Mytilus edulis: one gene and its partner. The protein of the gene in region 1 purifies or fractionates together with the protein of each later gene. This does not show direct contact. Links are inferred from orthologs where the notes say so. Each region holds a gene or a part of one and is shown in the gene's direction. Other genes may lie near its edges.

Region 1 (11,776 bases):
AAAGCTTTTTTTTCAAATAGAAACAAATTCCCCTTGTTGTTCACTTGGTAATGTGCTCTCTTCGAATACAGGGGTTAGTAGGTTTAATTCCTGGTCGAGTCATACCAAAGATTTGAAACTTTTATATAAGTATTTAGGATCGGCAAACGAACTATGTATGCAAGGCTTAATGCATACTGTACGTTACCACCACAAAACAATTCCCAGTATATATAGAAATATTTATATTATTTTACATATTCTCGTCCTGAATTGTAGACAGCAGACTTTAAACACAAGCGTATCCGCATCGTCATCGTAATCAAATATTGGGTAATGGATAGACTTTGACAAGCAGCAAATAAACAAAACATGCAGAACGGTCAATGTTACAAAAGAGGGACGAAAGATACCAGAGGGACAGTCAAACTCATTAATCGAAAATAAACTGGACAAACAGACAAACAATAATACTACACATGACACAACATAGAAAACTAAAGAATAAGAAACACGAACCCCACCAAAAACTAGGGGTGCTCTCAGGTGATCCGGAAGGGTAAGCAGATCCTGCTCCACATGTGGCACCCTTATGTGATAACAAATCCGGTAAATAGTCTAACTCGGGAAGTCACATTCATGAAAGGGAAGGGGATTGTAGTTACGACGTAAGGAACATATCCGATATCATTATAAAATGCTATCGTTGCGTATTTTATAAATTCGTACTATTCAGATTGTCTACAAACAAAAAATAGTGTTATAGTTTTATATTTAAATTTGCTCCAATATTTTACAGCATGGGACGATATTGGATACAACTTTCTTATAGGAGAGGACGGTCAAGTATATGAGGCAAGAGGATGGGACAGAGTAGGGGCACATACGTACGGCTGGAATGACGTTGCAGTTGCTTTTTCTATCATGGGGAATTTTAATGATCGTGTGCCCAACGACAAGGCTTTGACTGCACTTAAGAATGTAATTGCATGTGGTATTAGAATGGGAAAGATAACTCATAATTATAAAATGTACGGACATAGGGATGTAAGACAAACAGAGTGTCCAGGGAACAGTTTTTACGCTTTATTACAGACTTGGCCTCACTTTGGTCATACAAAACCAGTAAAACCAACCAGTTCATCACATCACCAGACTCAAACAAGCGGCTAACCCCGTCATTGGTTGTGGTTGGGACACGGTTGGGAAGAAATATACTGTATATTAAAGAATCGTGTTTGTCTGTTTGAGTAGTTTTATGTGTGCATGTGTGTGTTTTTGTTTTCAGAAAATGAATTAATGTTATACATTGTAACTATTTTTCATGCATCCTTTTGTGTCACATGATAAATTCTGAAAAAAAATCTGTGTTAAGTGCTTTTTAAAGTCGAAATGTCATTATAAGGTTGTGACTTATTAACTCATCATAGTCTAGATACCAGGATTCTTATTCAAAAGACTTATTAGTTGCCCTCGAATAAAAAGTTACAAGGTCAAATAAAACAAAAAGTTCAAGAGCGATGAGGGCCCAAAATTCAGCAAGATTTTGCCAAATACTGCTAGTTAGGAAATCTATTCTTGAGGTAGAAAATCATTTGTTTTTCTATAAAAAAAAAAAAAAAAAAAAAGAAATACGTTTGGTAAACAGTTGAATATAATATAGGGTTATTGCATGAATATTGGGGAATATTGTCCCGAGTAGAATTTTATATTGCACGAGCTTGCGAGTCCAATATATGTTCTACGAGGGACAATATTCCCCAATATTCATGCAATAACCCTTTTATTGTATAGCAATATAATATTTGAAAGTAAAAATTGGTTTAAAATAATATTTTGTCATTGATGACGTCATGAATTTTGAAGATTTATTGCACTAGTGCAATAATAGAATTTATTGCACGATAACTTTTGGTTACTTTCTGTTGGAAATATTATATTGCTATACAATAATAAATGATATTGTGTCAAATACGAATTTTATCATATCATTTTCAATCATGTCTAATCAATTCTGAAAATAGGTTATCAGTTTATATGAATTCTATTTAGATATTTATAATATTATCTCGGTCGACAGTTTTACATGTATAAACCGTAAAAAAAAACTTTCTATTTCCTTCAATAAACTTCTAATATGATCATAAATTATTACGTCTACTGGTGTTTTAGGGTGCTAAATCAAGCAAATGTGAATATATCTTGAACTACATGTTTTGATTGCATTTGAATTCTGCACGAATATTTCCCAGGCATTGCACTAGTTCACATCCATGTGTTATTATCATAATTATACAGTATTTTAACAGCAGATTATATAATATTAAAATTACCCTAAGAGCTATACATCATATATCAATTCACATATACAAGACTCATACAAGTATTTATAATAAAATATCAATTTTTTAGCATATGAGAATCGAACAGTTATAACTTTTATCAGATGCAAAAGAGATGATAAGATTTATAAAAATCTTAATTAAAATAGCTTACATATGCATGAAACTATGCTTTAAAATTTGCTGATGAACAACATTTTTTTTTTAAATGGGCATGGTAAAATAAAAAGTCAACAAAACAGTACAAATAAAAATGAATTAGAAATTCAAAAATTTCAGTTATGAATTTAAAAAAATAATCATATCTGATCCCTTTTTATATAAAAAAAAATATGTGCAGACATACATGTAAAACAAAAACATAATGGTTTACAAACATAGATAAATAAATATTCTAATTATTGAATGTCTATCGAAGAAAAAATCCGAACAGTACACAATCGTGCTGAATTATTGATAAACAGACTTTCAAGGCTTAAAGAAATTTAATCAGACAAGTCGAAAAGAAAGCCTCTCAAGCAACACGTACGAATTTTTTTTAAACTCATACCATTAGAGATGTAACGAAATCACTAATAAATGATCTAATTTGTTGTCTATATTCAACTATTTTTACTACTGCTAAAAAATAATAGGCGTGATAACGAACAAAAGACGAAATTCGAATATATTCTAAAGTTATGACAATCCTAAGACCAACTTAAGACACCTAAATTGGTATCCTAAAGTTAGGACAATTCCTAGGATTTTCCTTAGTTGCGACATGTTTGATAAACCCAATAGGACTAAGATGTGTCCTAAGTTGGTCTAAGGACACGTCCTAATCCTAAGAGAGCTTCGATAAACAGGCCCTTGGGTCCTCAAATTGACATACTCTTCAACTTCGTACTTTTATTTTATTTTATTTTCATTTTAGCGAGATTAATAAGACTTCTGACGAAATGTACGTCTGATGTTAAATTGTTTAAGTCTGTTAAGTATGGTGTTAACTATGATACACACAGCAGACCAGCAAGGCATATGAATAGCAAGTCACGCCAAAAGCTAGCTCGATGTTTACCTATTTCAATATTTAACATTTATTAGATCTATATAACAACAAAAAAGTATGCTAAGATTAAGCACGCATTGTAGAATAAGAAGCATTTACAAGTTACGTATTTTAGAAAGCTGTAACATACATTATGAGAAAATAAAACGGCGGAATTAAAACAATACGAGTAAAAAGGTGTATACAGCCTATGACAAGGCGGTGACTAGTTTTCCAATAAGGATCTTCAATAATCAGGGAACTAAAAATCAAAACACAGGATCAAAATTATAAAAAAAAACAGTCAAAGTTACCCAATTCTACTTGATTTTACAATTCTATTTGTTTTTCTGTAATGGTGTACTCCTCTGTTCGGGATATGGGAGTTGAACGCTCACACTCGAGTTTGTTGTTGGTTGATTGGGGAGTTGAACGCTCACAATCGAGTACTCCTCTGTCCGGGATTGGGGAGTTGAACGCTGACATTCGAGTTTGTTGTGGTTGGTAGATGTCTGTCATAGTTATGTATTTCGTTTAATATTGTAAAATATATCAAACACTCGTATTTCTCGTTTGAATTGTTTTACAATCTGTCATCCCAGGGCCATTTTAAAACTGTACTACTAACTTATACAGTATTTGTTTCGCACATTGCTGACGGCTGTTAAAGTACTGTGACATGTACTGGATCCCATATTTGTCCTTTCTTCGTTAATGGGATAATGACAATCATACCACAACTCAGAACTTTTATTTTATTATGTATCTTACAATATGCCTGCAACAAAAATTGAAAGAAACATGTATTATTCATGATACATACCTGATACATGAACACACAAAATACGAACGATAATAACATTTGATATCGTACAGAACATATATACATTGCACAAAAGTCAGGTTAACAAATGGTTTCTGCTTGTCAATGTAGACTGAATTGCATTCTTGTCTTACATATACAAGACTTTCTAAACATTATAAAAGGCTTGTATGTGCTAAATATCATCATAACAACACTGTATGTGCTTTATGTATGCTAAAGCAAACCAAGATCTATAAAGGCTTTACTATGTTGTTGAAGATATAGCAATTGTTTACAAATTAAAGCTTAACTGCTCGAATACATTGAATATAAAAAAGAAGGTGTCGTCTGATTGCCAATGAGACAACTCTCCACAAGAGACCAAATAACATAGTATAACACATGTAATTACAAACTAAAGGTCACCATACGACCTTCAACAATTTGAGCAAAGCCCATACTGCATACATTAACTTATACAAGGCCCCCAAATGACAAATGTAAAACAGGTCAATCGAGAAAACTCACGGTCTAATCTATGTACAAATTAATGAACGAAAAACAAATATGATACACACCATAAAACGACAATCACTTGATTACAGGCTCCTGACTTTGAACAGACATGCACATACAGGAATAAGACTATTTTCAGCATGTTAGCAGACTGAGGTAACATTGTAAAAAAAAATTCTAGAAGGAAAGCCAGTCATCCATATGCCGGGATGTCATGTTATTATAGCAGAAAACTTTTACAATTTAAAATAACAAAACAGTGCAGTGGTGGACCCAGAACTTCAACAATTTGAGCAAAGCCCATACTGCATACATTAACTTATACAAGGCCCCCAAATGACAAATGTAAAACAGGTCAATCGAGAAAACTCACGGTCTAATCTATGTACAAATTAATGAAAGAAAAACAAATATGATACACACCATAAAACGACAATCACTTGATTACAGGCTCCTGACTTTGAACAGACATGCACATACAGGAATAAGACTATTTTCAGCATGTTAGCAGACTGAGGTAACATTGTAAAAAAAAATTCTAGAAGGAAAGCCAGTCATCCATATGCCGGGATGTCATGTTATTATAGCAGAAAACTTTTACAATTTAAAATAACAAAACAGTGCAGTGGTGGACCCAGAACTTTTTAAAGGGGGCACTAAGCGGCCTAAGGGCATGTCCCCCTCCCCAGTTCAGGTTACCAACAAAAGTTTTAACATAATTTTATTAATACTGAATCTTTATTTAGAATTAATTACAGTTTGATTTGTAAAACTGGCCGTTAATCCCATCTCCAACATACTTGAAACTGACAACGCCATGGCTAAAAATAAAAAAGACAAACAGAAAAACAATAGTACACACGACACAACATAGAAAATTAAAGAATAAACAACACGAACCCCACCAAAAACTAGGGGTGATCTCAGGTGCTCCGGAAGGGTAAGCAGATCCTGCTCCACATGTGGCACCCGTCGTGTTGCTTATGTGATTACAAATCCGGTAAATAGTCTAATTCGGTAGGTCATATTCATGAAAGGGAAGGGGATTGTAGTTACGACGTAAGGAACATATCCGATATCATTTGTGAAACGGTTATTCCATAACGGTCAACCAACTCGTGATGGCGTCCTTAAAATTTTCGAAGGGATGATTTCAACTTCACCATTTGGAACTCTTGGTTTAATAGCTTCCTTGTGAGCAGCAAACCTCTATCAAGAAAATCATGATAGGAAATGCAAGCACGGGAATATCGTATCAATTGGGAGATATATACCCCGTATGCAGGTGCTGCTGGAATGTTGCTACTTAGAAATGGAAAGTTCACAATTGGAAAGCTGAAATCATCTCTTTTGTCGTAAAGTTTTGTTTTCAACCGACCCTCATTGTCAATTTCTAGATGTAAGTCAAGATATGAAGCCGACTTAACTGTATCTGTAGTATCCTTTATCTCTAGTTCGATTGGATAGATGCGTTCCACATACTCACCAAATTTTGAATTGTTTAGTGAAAGAACATCATCTATATAGCGGAAAGTAGAGTTAAAGGATATTGCTAACTTTTTATCTTTCTTCCTAAGAAGTTTCTGCATGAAGTCCAAGCATACAGTAAATTATGAATCAATTATCGTATATCTATTTTTCTTGTTCCATGTATGAGGCCATGGATGAGGATATGAATGGTTTTTACAGGGCAAAAAAAAAACGTCATTAGATGCCGGACCAAAACTAAAGATAACAAAATAAGGAAATGGTGAAATTAAAATGTGAAGAATATAATAATTGATTTTGGTTGCCTAATCATCAGTGTCCAGTGGCAAATATAGGCATGTTTAGGAAAAATCTAAGAGATAAACAAATATAGGATAGAGCGAAAAATAGCAGGACCAAAACTGAAGATAACAGAATAAAAGATGATATTATTGAAAGTATATTGCGATGATTGATTTTTGCTGTCTAATGTCCAGTGGCAAATTATCTGACCCCCCTTTTTAACCACCACCACCACACATACCACAACCATTACCACCAAAAGTCACATATATCGGTATCTCTATACAGATATCGATGTTTGGGTGCTCCCCCCCCCCCCCCCCCAAGAAAACGAGGTTCTGGATACGCCCCTGTCTTTGTATATTTTGAAAATATCACTGCTGGGTCACATTGTGTCAGATATAAATATATAGGCCGGGAAAACCAATCGTATGATAATCGAAATTTCGTACGTTTTTCAGAGACTAGTGTCTGTCGTAAATAACATATCTACTCCATTCCGGAGTTAAAATTTTGCCAAAAACTTTCAAAAATATAAAGGTTGCCAGATTTAAAATTAAGACCAAGGATTTGTCTGTATAGTTTGTCTTTTAAAAGACGCAAAAATAACAACAAAAATTTCAGTAAATTTACTAAAAGATAATTTTTTAATATATTTTTTTGGCCAAATAATTAAAGATATTTGAAATGCAAAATAACATCGGTATTGAAAAAAAAGTATACTGGGAGTTCTGACTACTAAAATCAGAGACATATAATTATTAACGGGAACTTTCGCTTCTTTATAAGCAACAAAATTCGTTTTCTGTTATCAGGGTTGTTAAAAAATGTTGTTTGTCGTTTATTAATGCATTTTTAGTATGTTAAATTTGGATTTTTTTGATTTTTTTAAAGTCAGCTGAGCTGGGACTAGGTTATAAATAGATTAGGGGAAAACCTAAAACCAATCGTATGACAATCGGAAGTGTCGCTTTGACCACGTCGACTTAGGTGATCTCATTTCCGGTGTAAACACTTGGACTGTTTTCAACAGATTATCTTACGTCAGATGTAAATGTAGATTTTTGTATTGTAAATGGGAAGAAGACGAAGTAAACGATGGAATTCGTGTATGATTTGGTTTGCTACGTCGGTTGGAGCTCTGTTTTATACGATCAGTTGCATCAAAGCCGCGGATGATATTGACACCTCGAGATCTGTCGATTCTGGAACCTACTATGATTTTCCCAGGGAACCCGAAATTACTGGTCAAAGATCATCCTCCTGTGTGGCAAAACCTCCGTCTGTTCTAAATAAGTAAGTAATTATAATTGCAAATATTGAAAAAAAATCATCTCATAAATCATTTATTTGCATTCATCTGACCATGCTGACAGACCTACCCACTGCCAGTACAGTGTACTGGTTTTGTCGACTGACATGCTACAATATGTACTTGTAATCAAAAGAACGAACATTGGACATTTAAAAGATTACAGTAAGCACTCTTGAGATACAACAAATTATCTCCCCTTGATTGCTTGTCTTTGTGACTAGTATTTACACTGTTTGTACAAAAGTCTTCTGTTTATTTTTTATTTTTTATTCTCCCAGAGCATTGACCTCTGCATTTATGCAGCAAAAGGCTCAACTGCAAGGCATGTTTTTAAGCCGGTTTAGTTTTTGTATACAGTGGGCAAATGCTGCATGATCCACAACAGAATATACTCTTTTAATATAGACCGTTAACATTTAAGTTGACTGTACATGTATACTGACTGATATAATACAGAAAAATAATTGAGTAGTCCTGTGTACAGTTTTCAAGATTCAAAGTTTTATTTAGAGTTGATATTCAATAAACTACATACATGTAACACAAGCTCTAGTGAGCTTTTCAAGTATTTACTGGAGAAAAAAATAATACTTTGTTGTTATTTCAGCAAAGTGTAAGTTAGAACTTCCAAAACATAAGCAAGAACCTGAATAATCTGAATTTACAAAGGGGTCCAACAAAGGAAAATAATATTTTGTAGAATGATTCACCATGCAATATCTTCTTAATCTGGTGGTTATGACCTGTTAATCTTGTTTACTTGTGGCTTCTGACTTAGGGCAGGCGCATATTGACATATAGATATATTGTTCCCAGATCCAGTACGAAAAATCTTCATTTTTTTATGTAAAGCAAAACAAATTAATTTACTACATCATGTACATGTTTACCTTAGAAAAGAATAAACTGTGAACATTAAGATAAGGCTGCATTTGTGTAAACTAATTTTTCTTCTATTGAAGTTTCAAGAATTAGTCTTCATGCATACAGTGTATTATTAACACAAATAATTACCATGCACAATGTTGAACAATTATAAACTGTATCATGTGTATTAAACGATGTTAAAAATTGAACAAAAAACTGCTACATACACATGATATGCAACTTTTGTGATATCTAGCTGGTTGGAACACATGTTTTCTTTTTAAATTAGGAATATTTTGTCAAATGGCTTTAAAAAAAACTCTTTACAATAAGAAATGGAATTAATTCTGCGGACTTGTTGTACATGTAATATATAATTCAAAGAGAAACTTGACTATAATTATGTAATAAAATAAAAGCAATGAATTCATTGCTATTTTGTAACCTATTAATTCAAACATGTCAAAACCTCAGTTTCTTTCATTTTTTTTTTTTTTTCCACACTTTTTTTATCTTATTTTAAAGCTTAATTTAATCTGCATTTAATACCATTATTCATTGTTTGCCGCCTACATTGTACATGTATTGTATAAACAATAAGTACATGTTCATCCTGATAAAGATATTTATGTATTCAATAATACCAAATATAGAAATAACCATGGCCACCACTTTAAGTGAGAAATTTTTCCTCAAAATTTGAGCTTTGTAAATATTTAAATCAAATCAAATGACTATTCATGAAGTGTAGCTTTTTATAGTCAGACAAAGCCATGAACAATATTTGTCTAAGATTTAATTATTTACAAATTAGTTAAGTACAAATGTCTTCAAGTAAACAAAGTATTTTACGTAGACAAATTCACAATACATGTACTGTATATACCACAGTGGAACCCAATAGTAAAAAAATGTAGGCACTTATGATACTTTACCTAAAATTTATTGAAAAAATGCTTTAGTTCAGACACAAATAAGGCTCAATGTATGAATTTACTGGACAGTATTAATTATTAATGTTCTCCAATACACAACCAAAATCAGAATTAGTATCTCAAAGGTATTTTTTATACTGATCCTGTTGAAATGAGTTTCCGAGGTTAGGGAGGTTGTGTGGCAGCTAACATGTTTAACCCCAACATATTCTGTATGTGCCTGTCCAAAGTCGGGAGCCTGTAAACATGATAAATCAGTTGTTGTTGTGTGTTGGCGTTTAACATTTGTATTTCATTATTGTTTTTAATGTCATTTTTTGGCCTTTTATAGCTGACTATGCAGTTGGGTTTTTCTCATTTTTAAGGCCGTACAATGATCTATAGCTGTCACATTGGCAATACACTGTAATACCAAATCTTCCTATTTGTACATTGTATAAGGTAATATATTAAAATTTGGTAAACATGATGCATTATAGAAGAAGGTCCAATTTCCACTGTATCTGTTTTATTCAGACAATCATTGACATTCTGTATTGAATCAATTCAGTATAAACATGAAATATTAAATATAATAAGGAACAAATGTTACTTTTGAAGATATGCCAGTTTGTTGTGTATATACATTGTAAGAGAACAAATGTTTTCAAATACAATGTATTATGAAGGTTAAAAATGATCATTAATTGTATATATTGTAGATTTCTGATGGTAGTGAGTACTCTAGATGGCAAAGTTTCAGCATTAGATGTACAGGATAGTGGCAAGATACTATGGAGTGTTGATGCTGATACTAGACCCCTGTTGTCATCCAGTATAGGAAACTTAGAGGTAGGTACAAGTCAAAATTCTTCAAAAAACATGTTGGAGTGTGGAATTAAGCTACAGTGTAACCTGCTTAATCTGACAACTGAGTATTTCAACATCCTGGTTTTAGCCGACACATTTTCATGGTCCAAAAATATGCCTGTTCTTGTAGAAAAAATTCCGACACCCTGCTTAATCTGACATTTTTTCTGCTCCCCTATGTGTTGTATATCTTTTGTCTATTAATTCTTGATAAATGATCTAATGCAATGCCTCATTAATATACTTTACCTTTATGTTTCTTTTTCTTCAGATAACAAGAAATGGAATGAAAACACGACTGATACCCTCTCTTGATGGTGGTTTGTACCAGTATGATGGAGAGAGTATCGAGGCTGTTCCCCTGTCTGCAGAAACACTACTTAGCTCGTCATTTAAGATGACAGAAGATATAACTATGATTGGTGGCAAAGATTTATTATCGTATGGTTTAGACCCCCTTTCTGGTCAGGTAATAATTTAATCTTCATGTTTTATTGCGAACCCTATCTTAGTTTTCCATAGATTCACCTGCAAGTTACCTGTCCATTTAAACTTTTGTAAGTCCTATTGTCCCATCTAACAAATACAACAGGTATTGTTCTCTGTGTAGTTTATTCACTGGGACCTTTAAATTTCTTCTAGGAGAAATATATCACTCATTGATTAATTTACCTGACCAAAAAATTATCTTCTTTTTTATTGAAATACTTCTAATAACTCACATAAACTGTATGCAATATTGTATTTATTCAATATTATCATTAATATATTTTCAATCTGTTCAATATAAAATCTGGTTTAATACTAAAAAGTTTATTTCAGACACATTTTTTAGTATTTTCCAATGAATTTACATGTTTTTGTTGTTGTTCATTTATAGACTTATGTTTATGAAGACCTTAATTTAAAAATAATAATATTCAATTTTTTATTTATCAAACACACAAAAATATTGAATATTTGATCAGAAATCAACTTTTAATTTTTGAATCAGTATTACAAATGTAATATTGAACACATTAAAAACGAGTTACTCCAGGTATCTAATAAATACAACACCACATGCAGTTTTGTGAGTCCTTACTTAGTATTGGTATAAGTATTTTTTCTTCATTGACAGTTCAATTTTTTACTCAGGTAGATTAATCAATGAGTGATATATTTCTCCTAGAAGAAATTTAAAGGTCTGAGTGAATAAACTACACAGAGAACAATACCTGTTGTATTTGTTAGATGGGACAATAGAACTGCCAAAAGTTTAAATGGACAGGTAACTTGCAGGTGAATCTATGGAAAACTACGATAGGGTTCGCAATAATAGAGGAGTAAAGATAACACAAGAAATATTTTTTTTAAAAATGCAATTTT
Region 2 (11,156 bases), on another chromosome or scaffold:
ACACAGCTATAAAAATGTTTCCGACTACAGAAGGTGTATAACTATAAAAAAAAATAAAAAAAAAAAATATTACTAGTCAAAATAATTGTACAATACATCTATGTCTAATCATATGAATTTTACAAAAAAACAAACATCTATAAATAAAATAAATAGTACAACAACAAAATCATGAGAAATCAACAATTATAACAAATGTTAAGATTATAAAGTATGTATGTAATACATAAATATAATAAGTCTAAGCATGCTAATACCTCGGTTTTTGGTTCACTGAATAGATTAGAAATCCTTTTCTGAGACATAAACTTAAGCATTTAACATGATTATTATTCCACTAACAAAAGTGTTTATCGAAATTACTGTAGATCTCAAAAGGACATATAAAAAAGACTTGCGCTTTATGAATTTACTCAATACTAATTGACATAATTTTTTATCAAAACTAAGTCTCAAATTCTATCTCTTATTGAGGGGCACATGTCAGATAAGTTAAGAAAAGGTTGTCTTGTAGGCATAACTGTAATCAGGTAAATCCTGCTTTAAAATTATTGGTGCATTTTAAAAGAGCATATTAGAGTACTGTATTGCAAAGGGTTTTAAATCTATAAATATTTTTCAACAAAACATTTTTATGTATGACACATAACCTGAGTGATTAAATGGATTTCCAATTTACATGTATACCAATAAATTATTATAAAGATTACGGTTCATTTCTGTCTCTTGTTTTGAACACATAACGGTGAGTGGATTTTCTTTCCATATCCTTAAAGTTGATAGTCTTTCCAAAGACTGAAAAAGAAAATTTTATACATTATTTCAATGGTCATTCTAGTTGAGTTCCTAAGGTTATCTGGTAATATTATACAGTTATTCAACAGTATTAAGGAAAAAAAAACATTTTATTTTTCCCAAGACACTAAAAATTTCATTATGGCCCTGCTGAGAGAAATGTTTTTTTTTTGTCGAGGGGAAAATAAAAATAAGAACATTTGGTATGATTGCCAATGAGACAAGTTGTCTCTCCACAAGAAACCAAATATGTCACAGAAACTAACAACTTCAAGTCACTGTACAGCATTGGAAAATAACTTAAAAGCTTCACTTACTGTTCTGTTATACCAAAAGAGGGATGAAAGATAGCAGAGAGACAGTCAAACTCATAAATAGAAAATAAACTGACAACCCCATTGCCAAAAATGAAAAAAGACAAACAGACAAACAATAGTACACATGACACAACATAGAAAACTAAAGAATAAACAACACGAACCCCACCAAACTAGGGGTGATCTCAGGCGTTCTGGAAGGGTAAGCAGATTTTGCTCCATATGTGGCACCTGTCGTGTTGCTTATGTGATAACAAATCCGGTAAATAGTCTTATTTGGTAGGTTACATTCAAGAAAGGAAAGGGGGTTGTAGTTACGACGTAAGGAACATATCCGATATCATTTGTGAAACAGTTATTCCATAACGGTCAAAGAAAAAATCTTGATCCAATTTAAAGAGAAACAAAGCTATATATCAGCTGTGTGGAGTATGATAAACATGTTAAACATTACTTGTAATTGATATCGAAGTTACTGAATGTCAAAACTAGAAACACCTGAAGATTAATAAATTTGGGGAAAACTGTTGCTTCTGGTAAACTATATCCCAAAGGAAAACGTCATTGAAACTATTTCCCTATGAACTTTCACTTCAAAGTAGAAGTTGAGGTAGCCTTATTTTAAATATTTCTAAAATAAAATTCGTCAATAAAAAAATATGATTTAATATGTGTATTTATTGCATAGCAATATCATATTTCCCACAGAAAGTAACCAAAAGTTAGCGTGCAATAAGTTCCAATATTGCACTAGTGCAATAAATCTTCAAAATTCATGACGTCATCAAGACAAAATCTTAGTTTAAACTAATTTTTACTTACAAATATTATATTGCTATTCAATAAAAGGATTATCGCATGAATATTGGGGAATATTGTCCCTCGTAGAACATATATTGCACTCGCAAGCTCGTGCAATATAAAATTTTACTCTATTCCCTAATATTCATGCAATAACCCTATAATATGAACTTTTTTGTCTCACAATATTATATATATCATGTATATATGAACTATTTTTCTGACAATATTATATATATCTCACCATTCTGTGTATTCTTCATCGTCTAAATGTTTATCTAGGATTTCCTTTACAATGACTGGAGGATTCAGGCCGTGTTTATCTGCTCTCTTCCATCTTTCCATTCTTGTTATTCCTAAAATGTACAATGTATGTAAAAGGTTAACTTTATTGACTTTATGTGGTATGTTGAACATTGGATGATGAAAGCTATATTAGAAGCATATTCTTTTTCATGAAATAGACTATGAGTGAAATTACCTAAAATAAATAAGATTGGAATTTTCCACGAGACACAGATGATGTATTTTACACTATAAAGGGTCATAACTCATTAACTGTAAAAGTGATTCTACCTAAATTCGTGCTTGGTCTGTGGTTTGTGGTAATAAGTATTGGGTATAAGGTTCATAACATTTGAATGAGACAAACTGAAGTTAGGGAATAGAAATGAAAAATTTGTTTTGGTAAAGGGGCACAACTCTAGAAAGGTAAAAGTGAACCCCACCCAAATTCAAACTTTATCTGTCCTTTTGTGGTAATAAGTATTGTGTATTAGTTTCATAACATTTGGTTGTGGCAAGCTAAAGATAGAGAACGGAACCAATTTCGGGATGTATGAAAGTAGGGACAGATGTACAGTTGGACAAGGGTAAAACTAAATACCCTCTCCACTTCAGGGGCAAACAAATATGAATTTGTTTAATGATGGAATATCATTCTATAAAACAATATATACCTGAACATGGACCAAATTCTAATGTGACATCAAAATGCCTCAGTATTTTCAATTCATCTTCTACATCTGTTTTACTTGTGCTTGGATGGCCATCTGGAATACAAAATAAAGATAATGCACATGTGAAAATAAATCAATGAAATTCATATCATTCAACAAAAACTTAATACCTGGACATTTTTGTAATTGTACATGTTCAACTTTTGCTGTTAATATTTTCATCTCAACTGGTCTTTTTGGAAAATTACACTTTATATACTTCTGTATTAATATGAGTTAGAATTTATGACTAAAATCAGCATAGACCATCGAAAGAACATCTGATTCAAAAATTTAATAACACTTTTAGTCCTTTGGGTGATATTGGATCTCAACAATGATTTCAGTATGTACACTAAAGAGATTTATCCTGCCTACCTGACCTTAAATAAAGCTAATACCATGGAAGTATTATATTGACAGTAACTCCAACGAAAAATTAGCACATTCCCATCCCACTGATTTCTTTAAGAAAATAAAAGGTTCCGACTCAGTTTGACAAGTTCGTGATAACTCCTTTGTGGGGTATCTGTGATGCCACCTTCGCCTGTTCTTTTAACTGAAGCTGGTCTTATCACTTGATTTAATATTGATTGTCTTATCTACCTACCAATGTAAATAAACACGGAAACTCCCGTGGTTATTTGTTAATTGCCACATAAACAACAACACCTGTTTCCGTTCAATAAATGAAGAACAACGCTGAAAAGATCGAAAAAATTGGTCCATATTTAACAGAATGACATAATAAAATTAACTGCATTCGGAAAAAGGGCAAGCTTATTTTTAGTTTTGTTGAGTATGTTTTAATCATTGGAACTTGGAAAACAGGAAATATCCGATTATGAAAATTACATGATTCTGAAGTAAGAGTGGTAACAGAAAATAATGTGATGCGCTTGTAGTGTGCCAGATGGTGCCAGATAACTCAAATTTTAGTTTAAAGATTGTAAAATTTTATCGAGTGTTACACAAATATTTATGGTTTTCTCTATCGTAAAATGTTATTAACTTATTTATCAAATATGTTTTAAAGACTAAAAGAGGTTAATAATTACACACATGTGATGACCTCTACATAGCAATATCAGGTTACGAGACATGCAGATGAATTGTTACACCTTTTATGATAATTCCAAAGTTGTAAACAACCTTAAATATTCAACCTAGTCCGAGATTACTCGATCTGACGTCTGACAGATTTATTTTTAAGGATGGCTTTTAATATTTCTGGATGCATTTAAAGAACGATCACCATGATGGGCCCTATGCAGTTTAATTTTTTTTTATCATGGAAACCAAATTAGAATTTATTTATGTGTTTAAAAGCTTAACAGTTCTGAACTGTGACATCTTACACTGTATGCTAAGCAATTTATGTTTCTGTTTCTTGTTTAATTGCATGAAATATTTGCCATTGGACTTTTAGTAAACAATAAATCAAAATATTTGATATTTTCTTCGGATCAAAGCTTTTTAACCCCGTCCCCCCGGCCAACTTTTGGATTAAATTTTTGTTTGAAATTCTTTCATTAAACACTTTATTAAAATATTTGTCAAAGTTAGCAGTAAAACGCGATAATAATTACTGATAAAAACTTTTCCTTTTACTTTACATGAGAATTTTATGATTTTCAAGCCTACCATGTATATAACAGTTACGCATGTTTAGTCAATGGCTCTCTCATGAATAAAAATCTTACTATTTTAAAATTGATTGCAACTTAAACTGAAATGTTTATGGCTTGTGAGTATTTTTACTCTTCAGTTTTTTTTTTTTTTTTTTTTTTTTTGGTGAAAACAGTCGCGGGATTTCGTTTATTTTCTTTTTATTTGTTTTTAAGCAGCAAATCCTGTAAAAACTAACATATTTGTCATTCACATGGTCGGTAAATGTCATTTCCTTGAATTAAGTACACATCTGGTTATTTCGGTATGTTCTGTAATTACAATCATTCACAAGGTTCCAAAAAATTGATCGGAACCCATGCATCCATAAGACATGTCAAGTTCATTATAACAGATACTTAACGATTTTGCGGCATCGCACTATAAACGTTTGAAGTCCGCTTGTTAGAGTTCCTGTCAATATAATACTTCCATGCTAATACTAACAATGAACACTGCCCTTTCCTGGATCTTGATATCTATATCCTTAATGGGAAGCTAAATACCAGTATTTATGATAAAAGAGGTGACTTTTCATTTCCTAATGTTAGTTATTCATTTTTAGAATTGTCACCATCTTTTGGTGTTTATATATCTCAACTTGTTAGATTGTGTATGTAACAATATATATGTACAATTTGGAAATTAGTATGGCGTTCATTATCACTGGACTAGTATACATGTATATTTGTTTAGGGGCCAGCTGAAGGACGCCTCCGGGTGCGGGAATTTCTCGCTACATTGAAGACCTGTTGGTGACCCTCTGCTGTTGTTTTTTATTTGGTCGGGTTGTTGTCTCTTTGACACATTCCCCATTTCCATTCTCAATTTTAATTATATGGTTAATTACATGTGTACATATACACTATTACCAGCTTACCCATTTACCCAAGAATCTGTCCTGCTTGAATTATTGACATCATACAACAACCACTTTTCTATTGTGGTGTCAGATATTTTGTATTTTCATGTCAACATTTTACAGGAACTTGTGTGATGTCCAGTAATGGCGGACACATAGCGATAAGGTGTATTACAATAAATGAGTTAAAATTACCAATTTCTAAGTTGGATTACATTTCTGAATCCCTTTTGGGATCCCCTGAGTCAGTAGCCATTTTCTGATTTGGTCACTCTCAAAGTGGTTAAATCAAAAAATTGCTCTGCAGTCAGAATCCCTAAAGGGGTCTATCATTTTTTATATGCTTCTAGTTTTTATAATTATCAATATATTTTACGTATATATATAAATTCAGCTTTTAAAATACCATTTGTTGGTTCCTTTTTATCTTTTCCTTTAGGAGTCTTGACAGACTTGAAAGAATTGGTAATGAAAGAACGTGTTGCCATTTTCATTGTTCTGCTTCTTAGGTTATGTTTACAGGTTATAACTTGACACTTTAATTTGCAAACTCAGCTTCCTTCAAAAGCGAAAGTAGGTAATGTTTATCTCGGTTTATCTAATGCTCCAAATATTAGACGAAACGAAATTGGTGAAATCTCTATTTTTAAGATAAAAGAAAATTTTAACTTTTTTTTTAAAATTTTACATGTTAACATATTATATATGAGAAGAATTGAATTATGTTTATCATGAATAGGATATAATTTTTATAAAATTGTGTTTAATAATTTCAAAAATTCGATTTTTATTTTAAAATCTTTAAAATTGAAACGATCGTAAATCTTCGGCGATATCCACACAAAATATGAAAAAGTAAGAGGAATATCGAAAAATATTTTCCAACTCATCAGCATGGCGGATTCTGCAGAAAACTCAGTACCGGCGTTAGCAGTTACTGCTGCAGTTGGAGCTGTAGTCCTATTATTCGTTCTTTTATGCAGTGTCGGAAGACGTGCAGACAAAAAGGATGAAGATGGTATTATTTTATTTTTGGGCTTAAGTGATAAAATTGAGAATACAAAAAAATATGGAATTTTACCATTAAAGCTTTAGCTTTATACTCATTGAGAAGAAATTTGAACTGTTCAAGTGCATTATTCTTACTTAAAAACTATTATTCATGCACAGTTGTAAATGCTCTTTTGTTCCGACGTTGGAAAGAACTAGCCGAAAAGTTCCGAAGGAACTTATTAATTAGTTACTTTGTTCTTCCTCTGGTTTAAAAGTTCTCCCGGAACAAAGTGACTAGTTGAAACCAACGGAACATATCAAGCAGTTAGCATGGTTAGAAAGTTCCTTTTTGCCAAATTAGTCAAAACCGGAACTAACAAACTAGCCCAAAAGTTCCAGCGGAACTTATCAACCAGTCACAAAGTTCCATTTGGAGAATTGGTGTAAAGTAAAAGCGCAAGATATTATATTTGAACCTTTCAAAGTGGAACCAAGATACTGATTACAAAAGTCAAAAGGAACTTATCAACTAGTCGCAAAGTTCCTCTTTGGCAAATCAGTCACAACCGGAACTAACAAACTGGCCCAAAAGTTCCTCCTCATATGGGTACTTTTAAAAATATCAATTTCAGATTAATGTATGAAAATAAATTAGAACTTATTCCGTTATGAAGGCAACATTCTGACCGAAGGAGCTAGTTGTTCTGTTCCACCAGAACTATTCAACTAGCTACATTGTTCCGAGACTTTTCAAATAGCTACTTTTTTCCGGAACTTTTCAACTGCACTCGGAATAAAGTAACTAGTTGAAAAGTTCAACCGGAACAGAGTAACTGACGGAACATAGTGGCTGTTACACAGTCACTGTGCAAGATTAGGGCAAATTATTAAAATTATGTTGACAGATACTTTTTTTAAAGTTCATCATAACAAACGCACAAATATGGCTGTATAAACGTGCCAAAAAATTACTCTGAGTACAGACTTACTTGTGAAGTTGGAAAAGTTTTAATGCCTAGCATCCACTAGATATATAAAATTTAAATGCATTTTGTGTTTCAGCATGTTCAGAAAGATAAAATTTCTTTTGGATTTTGACGGGCATTTTATTCCCCTCGTGCATATGGTGTGAAAATTAACTAAGTTGTGGTACAACTTTGAGATGCTCCCTCAGGTAAAAAATGGGTTTGTATTGTTTTGATTGTCCTTACTTGACATGGACAAGAGGTATCTTCACAACTACAGGTGAGTAAAAAAAGAGTTTATCTGAGTCAGTGAGTGGACAGTATCAAAGTAATTCAGGTGTTTGTTTATTTTTACACCTTCTGCAGAAAGGAAAAAAATGCCCATCAAAAACCAAGAAAGATTTTATCTTTCTTAAATATAAAATGCATTTTACTTTTATATATCTAGTGGATGCTAGGCCTTAAAACTTTCCAATCAGCACAAGTAAGTCTGTACACAGAGTAGTTTTTGAGGTGAAAATACAGCCATATTTGTCCATTTGGTATGATGAACCTTAACTTTGGTCACTGTCATGATGGTATCGACTATCGGGTCTGTTCGCCCTGATTACACTTTCGCCCTGGGTCCATTCGAACAGGTACTAGGGCGAACACGAATCAGGGTGAACCAACCTGGATTCCTGTCAAGACTAGGTGACTTGAAGTGTCATGTAAAATTGTTGTTATGTCAAATTCTTTATAAAAAAAATATGCTTATTAGATATGTAACTTAAAACAACCACTGAAGAGTTTCCTCATGTTGGGTAGGCAGATATATACATAGTTTGGTGACAGGTTGTATTGTTTTTTTTAACAACATTTAGTTAAACAACACTATCAATAAGAATATGAAAATAAGAGACCAACATGACCAAGGCAACTTTTAATTCCTTAGATTGATGAGTGAATTTTCTTCTAATACCTTTCGCCCCCTTTTAATTCCTTTACTTTTATGAAGAGATTTTATACAGCCACATCATTACAATATACAACAGGATGATATGAATTTGTGCAATACAGAAAGTAATTTATGTACATTGTATCAGGGCTTCCAAAACGGTCATATATTTTGGACAATTGTATTCTGTCCGGTAAAAGTCTGGCTGGACAAAGCATGAAACGATCATCTAAAAATATAGTATATATACCAATACCAAGGGTCCGGAAACGGTCATATATGCCAGTCTTGACCTAAACTGAAAGTATTTTGTCCTAAATGAGTAATTGGGATTTAGGACAAATTTTATTTTTTTACAGAAATAATTTCGGTCATTAAATTTCATTTCGTTGAGATCGAGTTTCCAACATTGTCTAAATCGCCATTTTGAACTTTTTTTTGTTTGTTATCCCTTTCCTGTAATAAAACTGCCACTCCAGTAAAGTGTTATAATCCTGAGGGCCCTCCTAATAACTATAGTAATGCCTCTGGGAAATATTGGCTAATGATCGCTAATCTAAGACTCTTTACCTGTGTTTTTAATTAAATTTTTTATTGATCACAAGCTCAGAACTAATAAATGAAAAGTTCATAACAACTGTCTGCATTATTTAATTACTTTTCTCAGCTTAGACAATTGTCAATTCTGATTTAAAATTAAATTAAAATTAAATTAATTTACGTAGAACAAAATATTGTTTCACTACAAACACATGTGCTTTGTTTACTAATAGGCAATCTTGAAATTCTCTTCCACAAAAGACACTAAATCGTAAATTCAAAATGATTTCATGCTAAATTAAACAAGTCCAACTATTATAATTAATATTCAAACACTATTAAAGGTAAAACAGTTAAAAAGCCGACGATTTCCTGTGAATTTGATAAACAAAACTAATCCCGGAAATGAGTCCGTAATTGGTCGTTTTACTATTGTCGTAAAACATCCGGTTATAATTTTGTCTTCAAATCGAAAGAAACGTAAGCGAAGTTTGAGAAATTTATCGTTTTGAGTCATTAAAATCATTTCATTTTTAAACTGTTGCCTTCCTTTTATTGCTCAAGATTTTAAGGAAAATAGTAGGGAAATTTCTGAAGTAAATGCGGTGCAACAGTTAAACAAGTTCCTTGATGCTACGAGTATGACTGTATGAGCATACACACAATCTTTGTTTGAAAAAGGGCACCAACTTTTAAGTTATCCAAAAATGACCGAAATTAGGTGAAAAAATTTCCGGACCCTTGACCAATACACGTAATTAACAGCGCCTGGTGATGTTTTATAGCCTGACCGGTTTCGGTCCGAAAAGGACCTTCATCAGAGGCAGAATGATGGATTAATGTTTGCACCCTATTTATATAGATATGGTAACCGGCGGTTGAGTTATCCAGCAGTTAAGATTTAACTGGCGGTTTGTTTAACCCGCGGTTGAGTTAACCAGTGGTTGAGATTTAACCGGCATTTCAGAGCGAACCGGCGGATCAAAGTTATCCAGTGGATAAATAAGTATCTTGTTGATATCTAAAAAGGTTCAATTAGCCATTCAGTTGGGATTTTCCATGGTTACAGTTATCTATATTTAGCTAATGTACATGTTACAGTAAACTTTCTTTACATGTTACGGTAAACTTTTCAACATTATACGGTAATCATGTGACCTGATGATATAACCATATTTGGGCTTTAGCATTGGGTAAAGGGTGTTTATTTCAGGACTTGATATTCAGGTGTATCATAAGCCTGAGATCAAGACTGCATGACTGCTAGGAAGTACTATTTCAAGACTTGATATTTAGGTGTATCATAAGCCAAATATCAAGATCACATGACTACCATGACATACTATTCCAAGACTTGATATTTAGGTGTATCATAAGCCAAAGATCAAGACTAAATGATTACCATGTACTTCTTAAATTATTTAAACACCCTTTACCCAATGCTAAAGCCCAAATATGGTTATATCATCAGGTCACATGATTACCGTATAATGTTGAAAAGTTTACCGTAACAGGCTATAAAACATCACCAGGCGCTGTTAATTATGTGTATTGGTATATATACTATATTTTTATGCTTTTACATTTTTCTCACTGATACACATAGTTAATATGGCTTCTACTAACGAAAGCTCCATTTGGAGCTAATGTGTTTAGAGACTACTTATGTCAGTACACCTTTCCTATATTGCCCATGAAACGATCATCTACTTTTTAGTTTTCATGGCTTTCTTACTAGACGTTCATTTTAACATAAACACAATCTTTTTGACCCAACATTTTGCCTTTAACAGCCACACATTTCCGGTCATAAAAGTGACAGATGATTAACTACTATCAAAACAGCCTCTACTTAAATACTTTCTAATTTTAATCAAGGCTAATTAGTTAGCTGAAATCTACCTGTTCAGGTGACAGGTAAACTATTTTCTTACATTTCAGCGGTTTGTATCTAATTGATTTACAAAAATGTAGTCTAAACATGCTAAAAGAATAAAATTCTAAGAAATATGTTTATAAACATGATTTGACGAAAAATTCAATAAGGTTTTAAATGAAACAATCGTCAGAACTACGTTGTATGAACTAGAACATGTGTGCGCATGTGCACAGGTGGGAAATTTAATTATGTATCCTACATTTCTTCAAAAATTCAAAAATTATCTTTAGTACCTGTACCTTACGTTCATTTCAAGTATTTTGTTGAAGAAATAACGTGGAAAGAGCTTCTTCGCTCAGTCATGCTTTGTAAACGTACACTGATTTAACATATCCGTTTCT

Evidence for each region.
Region 2: the proteins of eukaryotic translation initiation factor 2-alpha kinase 3-like (region 1) and transducin beta-like protein 2 purify together in Homo sapiens (affinity purification with western blotting; 3 studies listed by BioGRID). This does not show direct contact. The link is inferred for Mytilus edulis from reciprocal best matches to the Homo sapiens genes EIF2AK3 and TBL2.

What each region holds. Positions count from the first base shown.
Region 1 is NC_092347.1:88,470,843-88,482,618, forward strand, and holds the start of eukaryotic translation initiation factor 2-alpha kinase 3-like, read left to right. Parts: upstream 1-7,381; 5' UTR 7,382-7,517; coding exon 7,518-7,738; intron 7,739-10,260; coding exon 10,261-10,390; intron 10,391-10,679; coding exon 10,680-10,877; intron 10,878-11,776. Other genes in the region: peptidoglycan recognition protein 1-like, read left to right, coding at 779-1,152. UniProt on the Homo sapiens protein: Metabolic-stress sensing protein kinase that phosphorylates the alpha subunit of eukaryotic translation initiation factor 2 (EIF2S1/eIF-2-alpha) in response to various stress, such as unfolded protein response (UPR).
Region 2 is NC_092349.1:58,946,253-58,957,408, forward strand, and holds the start of transducin beta-like protein 2, read left to right. Parts: upstream 1-6,280; 5' UTR 6,281-6,335; coding exon 6,336-6,459; intron 6,460-11,156. Other genes in the region: DNA polymerase delta subunit 4-like, read right to left, coding at 771-795, 2,158-2,269, 2,873-2,965, 5,848-5,935.